Rattus norvegicus: one gene and its partner. The protein of the gene in region 2 interacts with the protein of the main gene of each other region in a pairwise test. Links are inferred from orthologs where the notes say so. Each region holds a gene or a part of one and is shown on either strand. Other genes may lie near its edges.

The links. The genes of interacting proteins can lie anywhere in the genome.
Region 1: the proteins of Rig1 (region 2) and Mavs interact in binary tests that used the Homo sapiens proteins (3 or more experiments, as listed by UniProt). The link is inferred for Rattus norvegicus from reciprocal best matches to the Homo sapiens genes RIGI and MAVS.

What each region holds. Positions count from the first base shown.
Region 1 is NC_086021.1:138,913,074-138,920,248, reverse strand, and holds the end of Mavs (mitochondrial antiviral-signaling protein), read right to left. Parts: intron 6,098-7,175; coding exon 5,944-6,097; intron 3,893-5,943; coding exon 3,417-3,892; intron 2,682-3,416; coding exon 2,253-2,681; 3' UTR 1,124-2,252; downstream 1-1,123.
Region 2 is NC_086023.1:60,146,966-60,155,233, forward strand, and holds part of Rig1 (antiviral innate immune response receptor RIG-I), read right to left. Parts: intron 6,705-8,268; coding exon 6,523-6,704; intron 5,597-6,522; coding exon 5,449-5,596; intron 4,065-5,448; coding exon 3,942-4,064; intron 2,320-3,941; coding exon 2,212-2,319; intron 1,839-2,211; coding exon 1,685-1,838; intron 423-1,684; coding exon 164-422; intron 1-163.

The DNA of each region.
Region 1 (7,175 bases), on a different chromosome or scaffold from region 2:
CCAACTCTCCCTCCTACAGCTGTGAACCCCACTGCGGCTGAAAGCAACCCACAGACATTGGACTCCTGGGACCTGACACGACCAAAGCCCCCCCTCTTCCTGAAGGTGGCATCAAAGCGTCTAGCTGAGACAAAGGTGTCATTGAATGCTGGCCTGGTCACCAAAGTTTGCAAAGTGCAGGGAAGGCCTTTGATAGATACTTCCCACACATTCTTGACCTAAGAGATGCCTAGTGACCAGTGCTTGAACTCTCGCCATCTGGGTAACCTCTGTAGGGCTACATACTGTATTACTGAGATTAGTCTTTCAAAGCTACACTAGAATAGTAACACTAAAACTAGTCCATGCACAACTCTTCACCAGCATGGCCAGCATGGCTCTGGGAGAGGGTACAAAGTCCAGGGTTGTTAGAAACAAAGGTGATAGAAGTTGTGTAGACAACTTGGGGACAGGTTACACCTAGATTCATGGCACAGGTTGAAGTGAGCCTTGAAGTTAAGTATAGGTAATTAGGGCATGTAGGGAAGATTGCAATAGCAACCCCTGATAGAGAAATTGTCCACAATAGGGCCCAGAGATAGAGGTGGCTACACGCTTATCCCCTGTCCAGCAAAGGGCACCCTGAGGAAGCCCGTGAGGATAGCCTCAATATACATCATTGTATTTCACTGTCTGGAGACTGGCTGGCCTGGAGCTGTGTAGACCAGGCTGGTCTTGAACTCACTCAGAGATCTGCCTGCCTCTGCCTCCTGAGTGCTGATTAAAGGCATGAGCACAGCCAGCCTAAGCCTAACTGTATTTCTGCTATAGGAATAACTAGACTTCCTGCCCACTGAGAAGGGAAGAATGTGCTAAGACCTATCTCTCACCGAGAAGGGAAGAATGTGCTAAGACCTATCTCTCACCAGGTACCTTTTCTTTAAAAGTGATGATGTGTCAGATGGTGGTGGCCCATGCCCTTAATCCTAGCACTTGAAACAAACAGGTGGATCTCTGAGTTTGTGGCCAGCCTGGTCTACAGAGTGAATTCTAGGACAGCCAGGACTACACAGAGAAACAGTCTAGGGTGGGGTGGTGATAACATGTATCCAACCTTTAAGAAATTTGGAACACACAAGATTTGTACAGATAAACTCTTTTAATTAATCCCAATAAAACTAGAATATATTAGCATATATATGCATATTCACCCCATCTCACAGGTGAGAAAAGTGAGGCACAGAGGTAAGGTCTACACCTGACCAGGGAGGAGACAAAAGCACGATGGAGGCGAAGGCTGCTCTCTCAAAGACTGTGCTATTACCACTGTGCACTCTGTCTCTCATGCTCTCACCTTAGCTCTACCAGCCTGGGCAGGACGGCAAGAACTTGTGCTCACACCCTCGGGGATAGGCACTAGGCAAATATCTCTATCCTTCAAACTCAGAGGAGCCCAGTAAAAGGAAGTGCTACCCACTGTCCACACTGGGAGGAAGACTAGAGAAGCTAAACATCTGCTAAAGGCAGAGAAAGGGTGGAACTGATCCAAGCCCAGCCTGAGCTCTGCCCACTAGGTATCTCATCATCCAGTGTAGGAGGTCAAAGAGAATGGAGACCAGGAGGGGAGAAGTGAAGAGCTGGGATAAGGAGGCTGGAGCAAGGCTCCCAGGGGCTTTCTCAGGCCTGGGAGCTGCTTCTGGCTTTCTTGGAGTCCACAGAGAACCTCCAGGCCCACCCTTAGGGCTGTCTGGCTGGGGAGAGGGACCAAAGGGGCAGAGCACCCAAAGCTCCCAAGAGACCAGCTGCTCTGCTGCTCCCAGGCACTCTGCCGAGGCCTCAGCCAGGCTGCTGGTGGAAGGCATTGGATGCTACGGGACCACTCATCACTATTCTACGCTTGTGTTTCAGGAGACCTGGGTGAGAGGAGGGGCACTGTCAACAGTGCAATGCCTCCTCATCTTCAGGCTTGGGCCAATAGGGATGAGTCTGGTGGGGATACCTCCTTAGGAGCACATAGCATGCAATCTTACCCTGCCCTGTGGGCAGGTCAGAAGCAATGGAAGGGATACAGGGCCCCCAAAAGCTGAAGACCAGAAGATGACATGAACCAGGATAGAAGCAGTGTCTCTTCCCCCACCACATAGTGATGGCGCCTCAGTACAGGTAGCACCTGTACCTGGATAACTCAGTGGACCTCGCCATATCTACCACCCCAAGCCTAGAGGGCATGCTTGGCAGGACTGAGCAAGTGAGTGTGGCATACAGCTGAGGCTTCACTGGGCCAGGTGCCTGCTACGGTAGAGCATCACTGCCAGGAATGCAGCCAAGAGTGCACTGGTGGCCCCCAGCCACTTAGCCCAGGACACTGAACTGGCACAAGGCTCTTCCTCTTCTGGGGACTGCTGGGTGGCTAGTGGCTCAGGGCTTCCTAACAGATCAACACTGGGACTTTTATCCACCTGGATTCGAAAGGATGAATACTCATTCTCCTCTGGACCATGGTTGGGTTCTGAGCCCAAGGAGGTGCTAGGGCTGATGGCAAGGTCCATAGAGCAGGCTGAGAATGGCTCGTTGTCCACCTGGGACACCAGCACCCCTGGCTTGCTTAACTCTGGCCCAGAGTGCAAGCTCCTGGAACTGATATCTGGTCTGGTCAGGCTGCTTCCAGTGGTGACTACGGTTGCTGGAGCCTCCAGGGTCTCCTGCAAACATAAGAAGAGGGGTTCAGGTGACAGGAGATAACCCAGGGTGTGGCAAGGGCTTGAACTAGTATCCCACAATAGCCGAAATTACCCTCTCTTGGGGATAAGACACAGCTGAGTAGGTGACCAAGATGCTGCAGTACCCCTCCAGGGCAGCCCTCTCCCACTCACGGAACTGCTGTGAGCTCCACTAAGAGGGAGCCCTTGCTGGCATGTGAACCATCTTGTACTACCTGGGCCTGAGAGCCACAGGGCAGGCACAAGATCCTGAGGTTTACAAACTTGGTTCCCTTAGGTAGACAGTTGTATGGTCGTGGGGAAAATGGCTATAGGGGTCACTAGGTTGGAGAAGCTACTACAAGCAGGATGCTTGAGAACACTGTCGAATGAACAGGGCACTAGGACACATGAGCCATCACGTTTAGTCCCCACTACTCCAGCTACAAAATGGTACTGCTGACCTTCACTGGGGCTTCAAGCTCCAAATGAGTTAACAGACATGCCAGTGGGGGAAGTCCCATGCCCCACCCTACTTAGTCCGAGCTTAGGCGGGCTCATGACTCTCATTCCTCTTGGAAAACAAGGTGCAAGGGCTGGGTTTGGCTGCTTCCCATCTGTCCCACCACCTTGAAGAAACAGACCAGGGACAGCACAGGAAGTAAAAGGGTCTGAGGGCAAGGACCAGCTGTCTTGGCAAAGTAGCCTGAGCCACTATTAGGAGGAACAAGGACTCACCTTGGCTTGCTTGTTGTTCCTCTCAGGTGGCATTGTGCTGGCACTTGCTTTGGCCACACTAGCAGTCACTTTGGATGGCACTATGCCAGTATATACTGAGTTGATGGGTAATTTTGATGGCGCTATATTAGTGGGCACAGTAGAGGGCGTTGCAGCAGTGGACTTTGTACTGATGGGCAACTTGGAAGACATGGTATTTACTGGTACTGGTTTGATGGAAGGCACTGAGCTGGTAGTCACAGAATTGGTAGGTACTCCCTCTTTAGTGCTGACACAGGTGGCAGCCTTGGCCTGGTCACCTGCTCCCTTTGCAAAAGCTGATCCAGTAGAAGAGGAGGACAAAGTGGTCTTGGCAGATAGAGCTGATACTGTGACCCCAGGCGAGAGGTTTGTCCTCGGGGCAATACGTGGAAGGGGCTGGAAGGAAACAGTTGGAGACACAGGTCCATAGGTTGCTATGGGAACAGAGTCAACATCTACAGGTGGGGAGAGAAAAGCAGAAACAAACCCAAAGGATGGTTTTAACTTAAGGGCTAGAGAAGGGTCCCCATGTCCTTGATCACATGGTCCCTTCCACATCTTGCCTCCCAATCTCCTCCCATGGAAAAGACTCTTGCCCCTCAGCCCTTAACTTGTAACCCTAGTCTGTCCTATCATCAAAGTAAAATGGGCTCTACCTTCATCCACACCTAAGAGCTTAAACCTTGGTATAAATTATTCCTTTTCCATCGACCCTAAGCACTTGCCTCTTCTCTCACTTCAGCCCCTTCTACCTTGTCCTGGGGCATGAGCGTGGATGTCCTGAGACATTCCTCTTACTACTGTCCCTCACTACCTTCTAGCAGGAGCAATCCTGAATCAGGGCAAGCAGTGGCAGGATGGCTCAATAGAACCGCTAACACCAGTCAACTGACCCACAGGCATATGTCCCCAAGGATAGGGACCTAGTAGTCCCAGAAAGGGAGCTTGATTTGGGGAAACAGAAGTAGCAGGAAGTTACAGTGCATAGAGCTGATGACGACAGACTCTTCCCAGAACTCTGAGGATACATTTGCCATCACTGACAAAGGTCAGAAGTGATGTCCGACATCTCTCCCTAAACCTGACAGAAAATCTCCCGGAGCCCGTGCTTACAGACATACTTCAACCAAGTGCCATTTGTGAAAGCAGTTGGGGGCACTGGGACAATTTCCTCTAACCTTTAACTGTTCACATGGCAATCCTAGGGCACTGAGGGCTCACCTGGCACCAGTAACAAACAGAGCAAACAGAACTCAATTTGGGAAGTAGAGGTGAGCCGCTCTAGCCTGGAAGTCGGGGTGGACAAACTCTAGTCCTGAGGGGGACACCAGGTTCTGAACCCTGGCTGACTTATCTGGGGTTGAACCACTTTAGTGATTTTTCTGGTTGTCTTGGTTACTTTTCTACTGCTGTGACCAAGACAACTTATATAAGAAATCACTTAATTTGGGGCTCATCGTTCCAGAGGGTTAGAGTCCATGACCGTCATAGTAGGGAGCATGGCAGCAAGGAGGCAGGCACTGGAGCAGTAGCTGAGACCTTCCATCTTACCCACAAGCATGAGGCGGGGATGGGCTTGGAAGGGGGTGGGGGGGGGAGAGAGAGAGAGAGAGAGAGAGAGAGAGAGAGAGAGAGAGAGAGAGCGCAAAGGCACACTATCTGGGAATGTCATGAGCTTTTGAAACCTCCAAGCCCACCTCTTTGACAAGACTACACCCCATAGTCCTTTCTAAACAGCTCCACCAACTGGGAACCAAGTATCCAGATGTAGAAGCCTATGGGAGCCACTTCATTCAAACCACAGCTGGGAACCAGACATCCCCTTGTGAAGAGCTCCCTCATTAGCTACCCATAAGGTGTCCTTCCCGTCTTCAGGTCCTGGGCAATCACTACCTTCTACCTGAGTGCAGAAATAGCCCTAGCTCTCTCCCACATGCAGCAAGGTACAAAAACTATACACCCACAGGGCAAAAATCACACTCTCCAATGTGATTTGACCAGAATCTAGTAAAAAAAAAAATCTCAGAATCTGGGCTGGCCTTATCATTTGTTTTGACCACAGAACAGAGCAGGAGTAATAAGACCTCTTGCCTTATTACTGAGCCTAAGCTCAGAGCTCTGCCTCTCTTTTATTTACCCAGAGCCTTACCCAGATGCTGTGAGTTGGGTTTTTGTGCTAGAGGAAGAGAGAATGAGGAAGTACCAGCCAATGGATGTAGTAGAACATTATGTATATGTCAGGGAACACCCGACACAAAATCAGCAAGATCAGAAGACCTACCCAGCTGAGCCATGTGCTAATGAATGACTGCATTTTAAGCTGCTGCTGCTGCTGCTACTACTACACACACAGGTATGCACACAGCACACACACACACACACACACACACACACACACTTTTATTTCTACCCTGCCTCCTATCTAAGGAAGGCCAAGTGGTAACTGTAACCCTAACCTTCATGTGAGCGGTCCAGGAGACCCTCTCATACCACACTCTATACATACTTGCTGTGGAGGGGCCCCCCAGTTCGGGTTCTTGCTCGGGATGCTCTCTGGAGGGCTGAGGGCTGAGGGCCGGTGGGTTAGGTGAGGATATCAAAGAGTCACCCGACATCCTTGGAATGGCCCCAAAGTTGGCCTGTGGGGGTTCCTCCGAATTCTGAAATAGAGGAAATAACATAAAGCCATTGCTTCTCCTGGGGCTGAAAAAGGGCAGCATATATTTATGGGGCTCAAGAGCACAAGCTCCTCGGAACCTTTGCTTGGCTTCAGGCTACAGGAAGCCTTCACATATGAGGCTGAAGCTCATCGATTATACTTGCCTAATGTAAGTCTCCATCCCTAGTACCTATTTGGTTTTTTTTTTTTTAAGATTTATTTATTTATTATATATAAGTACACTGTAGCTGTCTTCAGACACACCAGAAGAGGGCATCAGATCTCATTACAGATGGTTGTGAGCCACCATGTGGTTGCTGGGATTTGAACTCAGGACCTCTGGAAGAGCAGTCAGTGCTCTTAACCTCTGAGCCATCTCTCCAGCCCTTTTTTTTTTTTAAGATTAATTTATTTATTTCATATAAGTACACTGTAGCTGTCTTCAGACACACCAGAGGGCATCAGATCTTACTACAGATGGTTGTGAGCCACCATGTGGTTGCTGGGATTTGAACTCAGGACCTTTGGAAGAGCAGTCAGCGCTCTTAACCACTGAGCCATCTCTCCAGCCCACCTATTTGGTTTTTTTTTTTTTAAAAGATTTGTTTATTTATTATATATAAGTACACTGTAGCTGTCTTCAGACACACCAGAAGAGGGCATCAGACCTCATTACAGATGGTTGTGAGCCACCATGTGGTTGCTAGGATTTGAACTCAGAACCTCTGGAAGAACAGTCAGTGCTCTTAACCGCTGAGCCATCTCTCCAGCCCCACCTATTTGGTTTTGTTGTTGCTGTTTTTGTTTTGTTTTGAGATAGGACCTTACGTATCTCACCCTAGCCTTGAACTTACTAAGGATGACTATGAACTTCTGATTCGCCTGCCTCTCTCTCCTGAGTGGCAGGCGTATAGGTGTGTGTCATCATGCCCAATTTATATGGAGCTGGAGACTGACCTCAGGCACGTGTGTATGCCAGACAAGCACCCCAGCAACTGAAAGCTCTATTCCCAGCCTCCCAGGACAACTGTGTTTTCTAAAGATTTATTTATTTATTATATATGAGTACACTGTAGCTG
Region 2 (8,268 bases):
GGGACAACTCCTTATCAAGTGAATGAACCGACATTGAACACTGAGTTGTAACTGACAGACTGAAACCCCGAGGAGGGCAAGCTCAGATGTTCCTACAGAAGAGCAGCTAAGTGGAACTCTGGAAGACTGCGGCTCTTCTTAGAAGTCACCTGACTGGAAATACCTGAGGCAGTGGGTCGGGTGACCCTCCGAGTTTGTGATCTAGGTATCTGAACATGATCTGGTTGTACGGGTGGTGTTTGCTGGTGTTATGACACTCGTCGAATATCATCAGAGTGAAGACAGACAGCGAGGGGATGGCTCCATTGTTGAGACTGTTCACAAGAATCTGGGGTGTCAGGATGACGATGTCATTGTTTTCAATGATGTGCTGCACTGACACATTATCAGCCGTTGCCCCCGAAATGCCGGCGACATTGTACCTGGGAAGTGACAGAAATCCCTTATCACCAACCATGTTGTGAACAAAGAGACAAAGTGGAAGTCTAGGTCACAGCAGCAATTAAGGAAGCGCCCCCGAGCCCCAAAGAGTACAGCTGAGGAGCACTCGAGCTTTCTCACAGTCCTGATGCAAAGCCAGGGACCAGGAAATGCAAGGGGTTATAACTAACTGATCCAATGATCACAATGTTCCAAGTCATTAGAAGATAAACGATTTTTAAAAGAGTAATAGCCAATAAAGTATAAAATCATTAAAAATGACCAGCGTGGGGGGGGTGGATGGGGAGGGGAACAACCTTATAAAAGGGGAGGGGGAGGAGTTAGGGGGCTGATAGACAGGAAACCGGGAAAGGGAATAACATTTGAAATGTAAATAAGAAATACCCAATTTAATAAAAATGGAAAGAAAAGAAAAGAAAGCCATTGATGATCGGAGATGAGTTTATAGATACAAGTAAGGGCAACCACAGGGCGAAGTTGATTGACTTCTGTTGCATTTGTCTTCAGGAAGACGGAGGTAAACGAAGGTACTAAAAAAAACCTGAACACAAGCTACAGAAATGACCTCGCTTGTGTATCCAAGCAAACCAAAGGGATCAGAGATGGGGGAGGAGCAGAGGGTGCAGAGAAATTATACGGAAAATCTAAAATCACTGTAAAATCAGACATAATGATGATATTCACAATAATTCTATAAATGACAAGGAACGTGATGTTTTCTGCAATACTCATCAATAAAAGAAAGATAAAATCAAAAAAAAAAAAAAAAGACCAGTGCATCACCTAAATGTTAAATTTGGCCACCAAGTTATTAATGGTCAGAGCAATCCATGAGGGCTTAGCATTTCTGGTAAAGTTAAACAAAGAATGTTATTCCACAAAGGAACTACTTCTAAAAGTTAAGTCTGGGGTAATTTTCTTTCTTTTTTTTTTTTTTTTCCGGAGCTGGGGACCGAACCCAGGGCCTTGCGCTTCCTAGGCAAGTGCTCTACCACTGAGCTAAATCCCCAAACCCGGTAATTTTCTTTTAATCATAACACAGAACAGCGAGGCCTGCCAAATGCGCTGGAAGGTAGAAGCAAAAGGATCATCTCGTCTAGGCCAACCTCAGCTACAGAGTGAGTTGGAGGACAGCCCCAGCTACGTGATACCCTACAACAAAACCCCCAAAACCAGACAAAGAGGCTAGAAATTTAAAATAAAAACAAAAGACGAAAGAGGTTGGACTGATCGTAGTACATACCCAAATCTTTCGAAATATCGTGAGAACACAGTGGCCTGCTGTTCATACACAGGGATCTGGTTAGCAAAAAAGACCACTTTCCCTTTCTGTCCGTGCGGAAAGTTTTTAAGATGATGTTCGCATATGAGAAGCGACACAAAGGTTTTTCCACAACCTTTTAGCAAGGGAAGGAAAAAGAAAGAGATAAGCGGTGTTAGCTGTTTTTCCAGGATGGTAATTATTTTTGGCTTCTGTATCACCATTGGGATACAAATAAACGAATCCTTCCTCTGCACAGACAGTGACACTTTAAACCATGGCTTAAAAATGCCACCTTCTCCCTAAGTAACATGCGTTCAAGGAGCAAGGACCAAAAGCAAACTAAAAGAGGGCACTCATCTCCCACCGGCTTCCTTGAGAAACACAGAGAGATTGCTGACCGGACAGCTCTCCCAATGGCAAATACGGAAAAACCCCTTGCTTTGCAGCACCCAAAAGGAAACGAAAAAGCAAAGAGAAGGTTCTGTGAGTTGCAGCAACTAACTCACCAGTAGGAGCACATATTACTGTATTTTTCCCTTTCTTGGCAGGCAGGGCAAGCTCCAGTTGGTAATTTCTTGGTTTCAATGGGCTGTGTGAATTATTAGGAGACGCTTCTGTAATACAGAAGGGACAGAGTTATTGAAGGGTTTGTGCCATTCAGTGGACCTGAGTTCTGATCCTAGCAACAATGCCCCATTTGAGGAGGTTTGGGATCTTGCTTCTTAATAATTGTCCCACTTTCCCCTTTGAAGGACACTCTACTCTCTCAATGACAAAGTATCAACAGCAAGGAGGCAGGGGAAAGGCCAAAGTGAATTATTCTTCCTCTCTCTCTCTCTCTCTCTCTCTCTCTCTCTCTCTCTCCCTTCCTTCCTTCCTTCCTTTTTAAAGATTCATTTATTTATTTTATTTTATGTGTATGAGTACACTGTCACTGTCTTCAGACACACCAGAAGAGGGCATCAGATCCCATTACAGATGTTCATGAGCCATCATGTGGTTGCTAGGAATTGAACTCATGACCTCTGGAAGATCAGTCAGTGCCCTTAAATGCTGAGCCATCTCTCCAGCCCCGTGACTTCTTTCTTAATCATGGAAACATTACTAAGAAAAAGGAAAGCAAGAATGGCCTAATTCAGAACATAGCCACTTGTTACAAAGTAAGAACAGATCTTCAAAAACAGCCAGAAAACCAGCTGTTGGCACCAGGTTCTCAAAGCAACTGAGTGTCTAACCGTCCCACTGTAAAGAAAGACTTTCTAGGTGAAGAAAATCGCCTTTGTTTAAAAGTCATGTATGGATCACTGTGTGTCCGAAATATTTAAATCGACTGTGTATCCCTAGGATGAAAACCTGTGTCATTCACTTGCTGACATCATTTGTAAGATGTGTGTGTGTGTGGTGTGTGTGTGTGTGTGTGTGTGTGTGTGTGTGTGTGTGTGTACACATATATATACTGTTTTTAAGAAATCACATCTTTTAACACTATTCATCATTAATATATCTCCTTCCTGATATATATTTTTTACAAATGTTTTGTTTGTTTGAAAGTTGTCTTACAACTTTCTGGTCTCTCTCTCTCTCTTTTTTTTTTTTTTTTTTAATTAATGCTATGTATGTGAGTACACTGTCACTGTCTTCAGACACACCAGAAGAGGGCATCAGATCCCATTACAGATGGTTGTGAGCCACCATGTGGTTGCTGGGATTTGAACTCAGGACCTCTAGAAGAGCAGTCAGTGCCCTTAACCACTGAGCCATCTCTCTAGCCCTCTAGTCTCTTTATAATAAAGGTGTATTTCAAGGAGCATTAGGGCCCTCGTCCAACCACAGGTAACAGAACAGTAGCCTGTGTGTGAGAAGTTACTGTGAGCCCACACACAGAGGCTGCAAACAGCGGCCACACAGTCACCTCATGCTCTCGGACGGCAGCCCTGGCACCCTGAGACGAGACTGAACAAGTGGCTCAGAAACAAGTATTCTTCAGAGAGAAAAGCTGCTTTGGGATGCCACGGGCACGGTGGTACATATAAAGACACATATACTCCAGGGTAGAAGGCTATAAAAGCAGCAGAGGCTATGGAAGACGGGAACCAGAATTCTGATTATAAGTCTCTATCGCCCCACAAATTCTCTTTCTTTTCTCAATCATCCTTAAAAAGGATTTTTTTTTTTCAAAAGGCTTCAAAGTGCTGGGGAAACACCATCATGGACAAGAACAAGTGATGCTGGGTACCTGAAGGAGGGCCGGGATTCTGACTGAGATTCTGACACTCCGGTTCTTCCTGAATGAAAATCTGTATGCTGGCCATCTCTGTTCCGTCATCCTCAACAGCCTTACAGTCAACCCTTCTGACACCTTTGTGAAGACAAACAAACATACAAACAAACACAAATAAGAGCTTAGAATCTTAACGCTATGTGATTACGGTTTTGGTTGAGGAAGCCCCGAAAAGCTCTTATAACCATGACTTCACAGTTTCTTTCTTTCTTTCTTTCTTTCTTTCTTTCTTTCTTTTTTCTTTTTTTCTTTTTTTCTTTTTTTCGGAGCTGGGGACCGAACCTAGGGCCTTGCGCTTGCTAGGCAAGCGCTCTACCACTGAGCTAAATCCCCAACCCCTTCTTTTTTTTTAAAGATTTATTTATTTATCATATTTATATATGTACACTGTAGCTGTCCTCAGACACACCAGAAGAGGGCATCAGATCTCATTGCAGATGGTTGCGAGCCACCATGTGGTTTCTGGGATTTGAACTCAGGGCCTCTGGGAGAACCGTCAGTGCTCTTAACCTCTGAGCCATCTCTCCAGCCCGCTTTGCAGTTTCTCAACATTTTATTTACTTTTGAAATGGATTTGTTTATTGTGTGTGTCACACATGACACAGTGAGTATGCGGAGGTGGAGGACCCTGTCTGGGGATTGGTTCTCTCTATCATGTAGGGCCTAGACATTGAACTCGGTTCTTCAGGCTCAGTGACAGGAGCTGAGCCATCTCACCAGCCCCACTTTGTCAGCTTAAAACAGCAGCAAGAATCATTTTGAGTTTGAAGGTCACTTGGGTGTTTGAATTCCAGTGTCGCCTAGAACTACGAGACTCCAAGTGTAGAACGTGCAGCTATTAGCAGTGCGTAATCGGAGTCCCTCCCCACTCCATAGCTCAGGACAATGACGCAGGAGAGTCACTCCTGAGCACACTAAAGGGACACTCACGATTTCATCTCTGACCAATGACATAGACAGTTTCTGGAATGACTGATGTTCTAGGTGAGAACTGAACCTAGAAACTCGGGTATTTATCAAGGTCTGGTTTAAAGCAAGAAGTGACTTTCCGGAAGCCAAATAAGGTTGGCTTAATCACAGCAAATCTCTGTTTACGCCTTGCTCTGTTCAGTTCCTGATGGCTTCTGGACAAGAGAACCAGTCAACAGCTATCACTCCCAGCGCTCGGCCTCTACTCTGACAGGGAGATAAGTCTCGCAGTTCGAACCTTTAGGTCTAGAACTCTTATAAATCTCGGCAGGAAGCCTTTATTCTTCCTTCTCCAAATTCTTTGACCTGGGTGGGTTAATTCCATGACTTGTAGCTCCCTTCCTCCCAGGACCCAGCTTGTGTCTTCCCACCGCTTGTGTCCTAGGGCCACGGCTTGAGGTATGTGAAGTGAACAGCGTCTCTGATGGAAAGTAAAGTCGGGGAGAACTGTGGGGCCCAGCATGGTTCAGAGCTCTTTCTCAGAGCAGCCCACCTTTATCGACGAGCCACAGTTCACTAAACTTGCTGTTGTCTTTCTCCAAAGCAAACTGCAAAACCTTTGGCCAGTTCTCCTTATCGGATCTGAGAAGACATTGGACCATCTTCTCCGCACCCGCCATCCTCCCTTTAGTGAAGCAGATCTGGGGGAGACAAAGGCACCACACTGATTGGCCAGCTCAGCCTTTCTCCTTGCAAGCTTTGCTAAAGAAACCACATCTACTCAAGCAGTTCTTGGTAGAGATCACTGTGAGCTCTGGTCGAGGGGCCTTAGCATCTTTTTTTTTTTTTTTTTTTTTTTTTTTTGCCCTACCCAGCACTAGCTTTTAAACTATTCTTCCCTTCACCTTTGTCCTTTATAACGGGCTATCAATATGTCAAGGCAAATGTTATCTTCTGAATCCTTACATCCATTGCCTCTGGCAATCCCAGGGTAAAAAGTTAACCCAGACAACGACCGACCCGTTCACCCTAAGGATATCTCAGCATACAGAGCCATTTGGAAACGCCTAACAACACAGCAGCAGTTTGGTTTGGTTTTTTTCAAAGCAGGTATTCTATGATTTTTATTTCTAATGATCACTAAAATGCATGGTGTATATATTGCTATGCATCAAACTGGCAGATATACTTAGTGCGCACCGTCTCGTTTCACCCTAAGAGCATGCTAATAAGGTACATTTTTCTTCCATTAGCTTCTTAGAGAAGCTAAATGGATTGCCGAACACTAGTTAAGGGACTGAGAGACTGTAATAAATGTAGCTACACGCCAGAGCCTGGCCTATTTTTCTTTTCATTTGTTGCCCTGCTTGACGTGATTTGCATGTGCATAAAACACTATTCAAAGAAAAGGTAAGGGGGCAACTTGAACTGCAAATAGGTCAATTTTCCAATAGTCTTGCACAGAAAATTACCCCATTCACTTTAAAAATTCTATTCTAGTCATTATGTCTTCTAGATGAGAGCTTTTATGGGTTTCGATTATCCTTGGGCCTAAAGCACGACAGAAAACGGGGCATTTCCAATGTGTCAGCATTTTTCTTTAAACTTAGTACCTGTACTGGCTTACCTGTCTGATTTCTTCACATTCCTGATTAATCAAACATTCAGATATTTCAGAAAGGATATCTGTCGGGCTAACTGTGGCCTTAAATTCCGGCTCTAAACGTCTTAAAAGTAATCTGTGTTCCTCTAACTTTTCAAGTTTTTGAAAGTCCCAAGTTTCGATGGCTTCATAAAGTCCACAGTAACCTGGAAAGAAAGAAAAAAATGGGGATTTCTTAAAGCGAGCCCAAGATAAAAACGCTTTCACATCAAAATCACAGGAATTCTATTTGAATACATGGTAAGGGAACTCAAAACCATCTGCAAACACGGCCTCAGTCACTGGACGACGGACAGTCTGGGGAGCAAGCTTGGACGCTAGCTGGTGGCGGCCTTTGGAGGTGACCACACCATGCGGGTCCTGACGTCATCAGTGGCAGCACACTGAGTTCCTACAGAAGGACTGACTGAGAACCGTAGCCCCCTGGCACAGCCTTTGCCACCAGAAAGTGCCTCGTTCTTCCACACATGCTCCCCCCAGGATGCCCTGCCTTATGACACATGGGTGGGGAAGCCACAGATCCACTTGGCTCTCATTTTTCTGCCTTTTATTTCTTCAAGCATTAACTCACAGTAGTTAAAGTCAGCGAATACAGCTATTCATGATTTTCAAAAATGGAAGTAATATTCATTTTTGGTACCCAACAGTTTAGGTCTCCTAAAAGTCATTATCCTTCAGGGTAAAGTCCGAAGGACCGATATGAAGCCTTGCATTTGCCCTTAGAATAACATCTTTAAAATGCCCCTCCATGCACTCCATGCATCAACCCACAATTTATTTTTTTAATATTTATTTTTATTTTATTTTCTGTGTGTCTGTGTACCACGAGTGTGTCTGGTGCCTTAGGAGAACAGATGAGAGTCAGATTCCGGGAACTGAAGTTACAGATGATTGTGAGCCACCATGTGGGTGCTGGGAACCAAACCTGGGTCCTTTGCAAGAGCAGCCAGTGCTCTCAAAGGCAGAACCATCTCCTTGGGCCCCTTGATTTACTTTTAAATTAGTCAAACCCATCCTGTTTAGCCTCTCAGCTGGAAACGGTAAAGAAGACAAGAGGAAATAAGAATCTTACATCCTGCCCTTCACACCATTCCAAGAAAAGATTAAGTCAACGGTCAAGTGAAGAAGGAAAATGACTTCCACCAGAAAGAACCCAAGAGCGCCTGACTCTAGGGTTCTTGGACAGAATCACCAGGCTGCCTGCCTCTAAGACCCACAGTTACTTCATTCAGGAGCTTGAGAAGACAATGGTTTTCTCCCCTATGTACCCAAAACCCAAACCAATCAAAGTAGCACCAGGACCAGGAAGGTAGCTTAGTGGGTAAAGTGCTCACCACACAGGCCTGAGGACCTGAGTTCCTACCCCCAGCTCTCATGCAAAAGCAGGCATAGCAGCGAGACCCTAGAATCCCAGCCAGTCTAGCCAAAAAGGGTAAATTCCGGGTCCAAAGAGAGATCCATTCCCCAAAACATAAGGTGGCAAGCTCCTGAGGAAGACACTTATGTCAACATCTGGGCTGCACAGAAATACCCTCAAACCTGTGTGCACAAGCATGCACATACACATGAACATATCCATGTATTATTACTGCAGCTAGTCTTAGGCTCTGCCTCCTAAAAATCCACAAGCTGGAGACCACTCAAAACATCAGTTCGATGGGGACATTTCAAATTTAAACCACAGCACACAGTTATGCCTAATGCCTAACT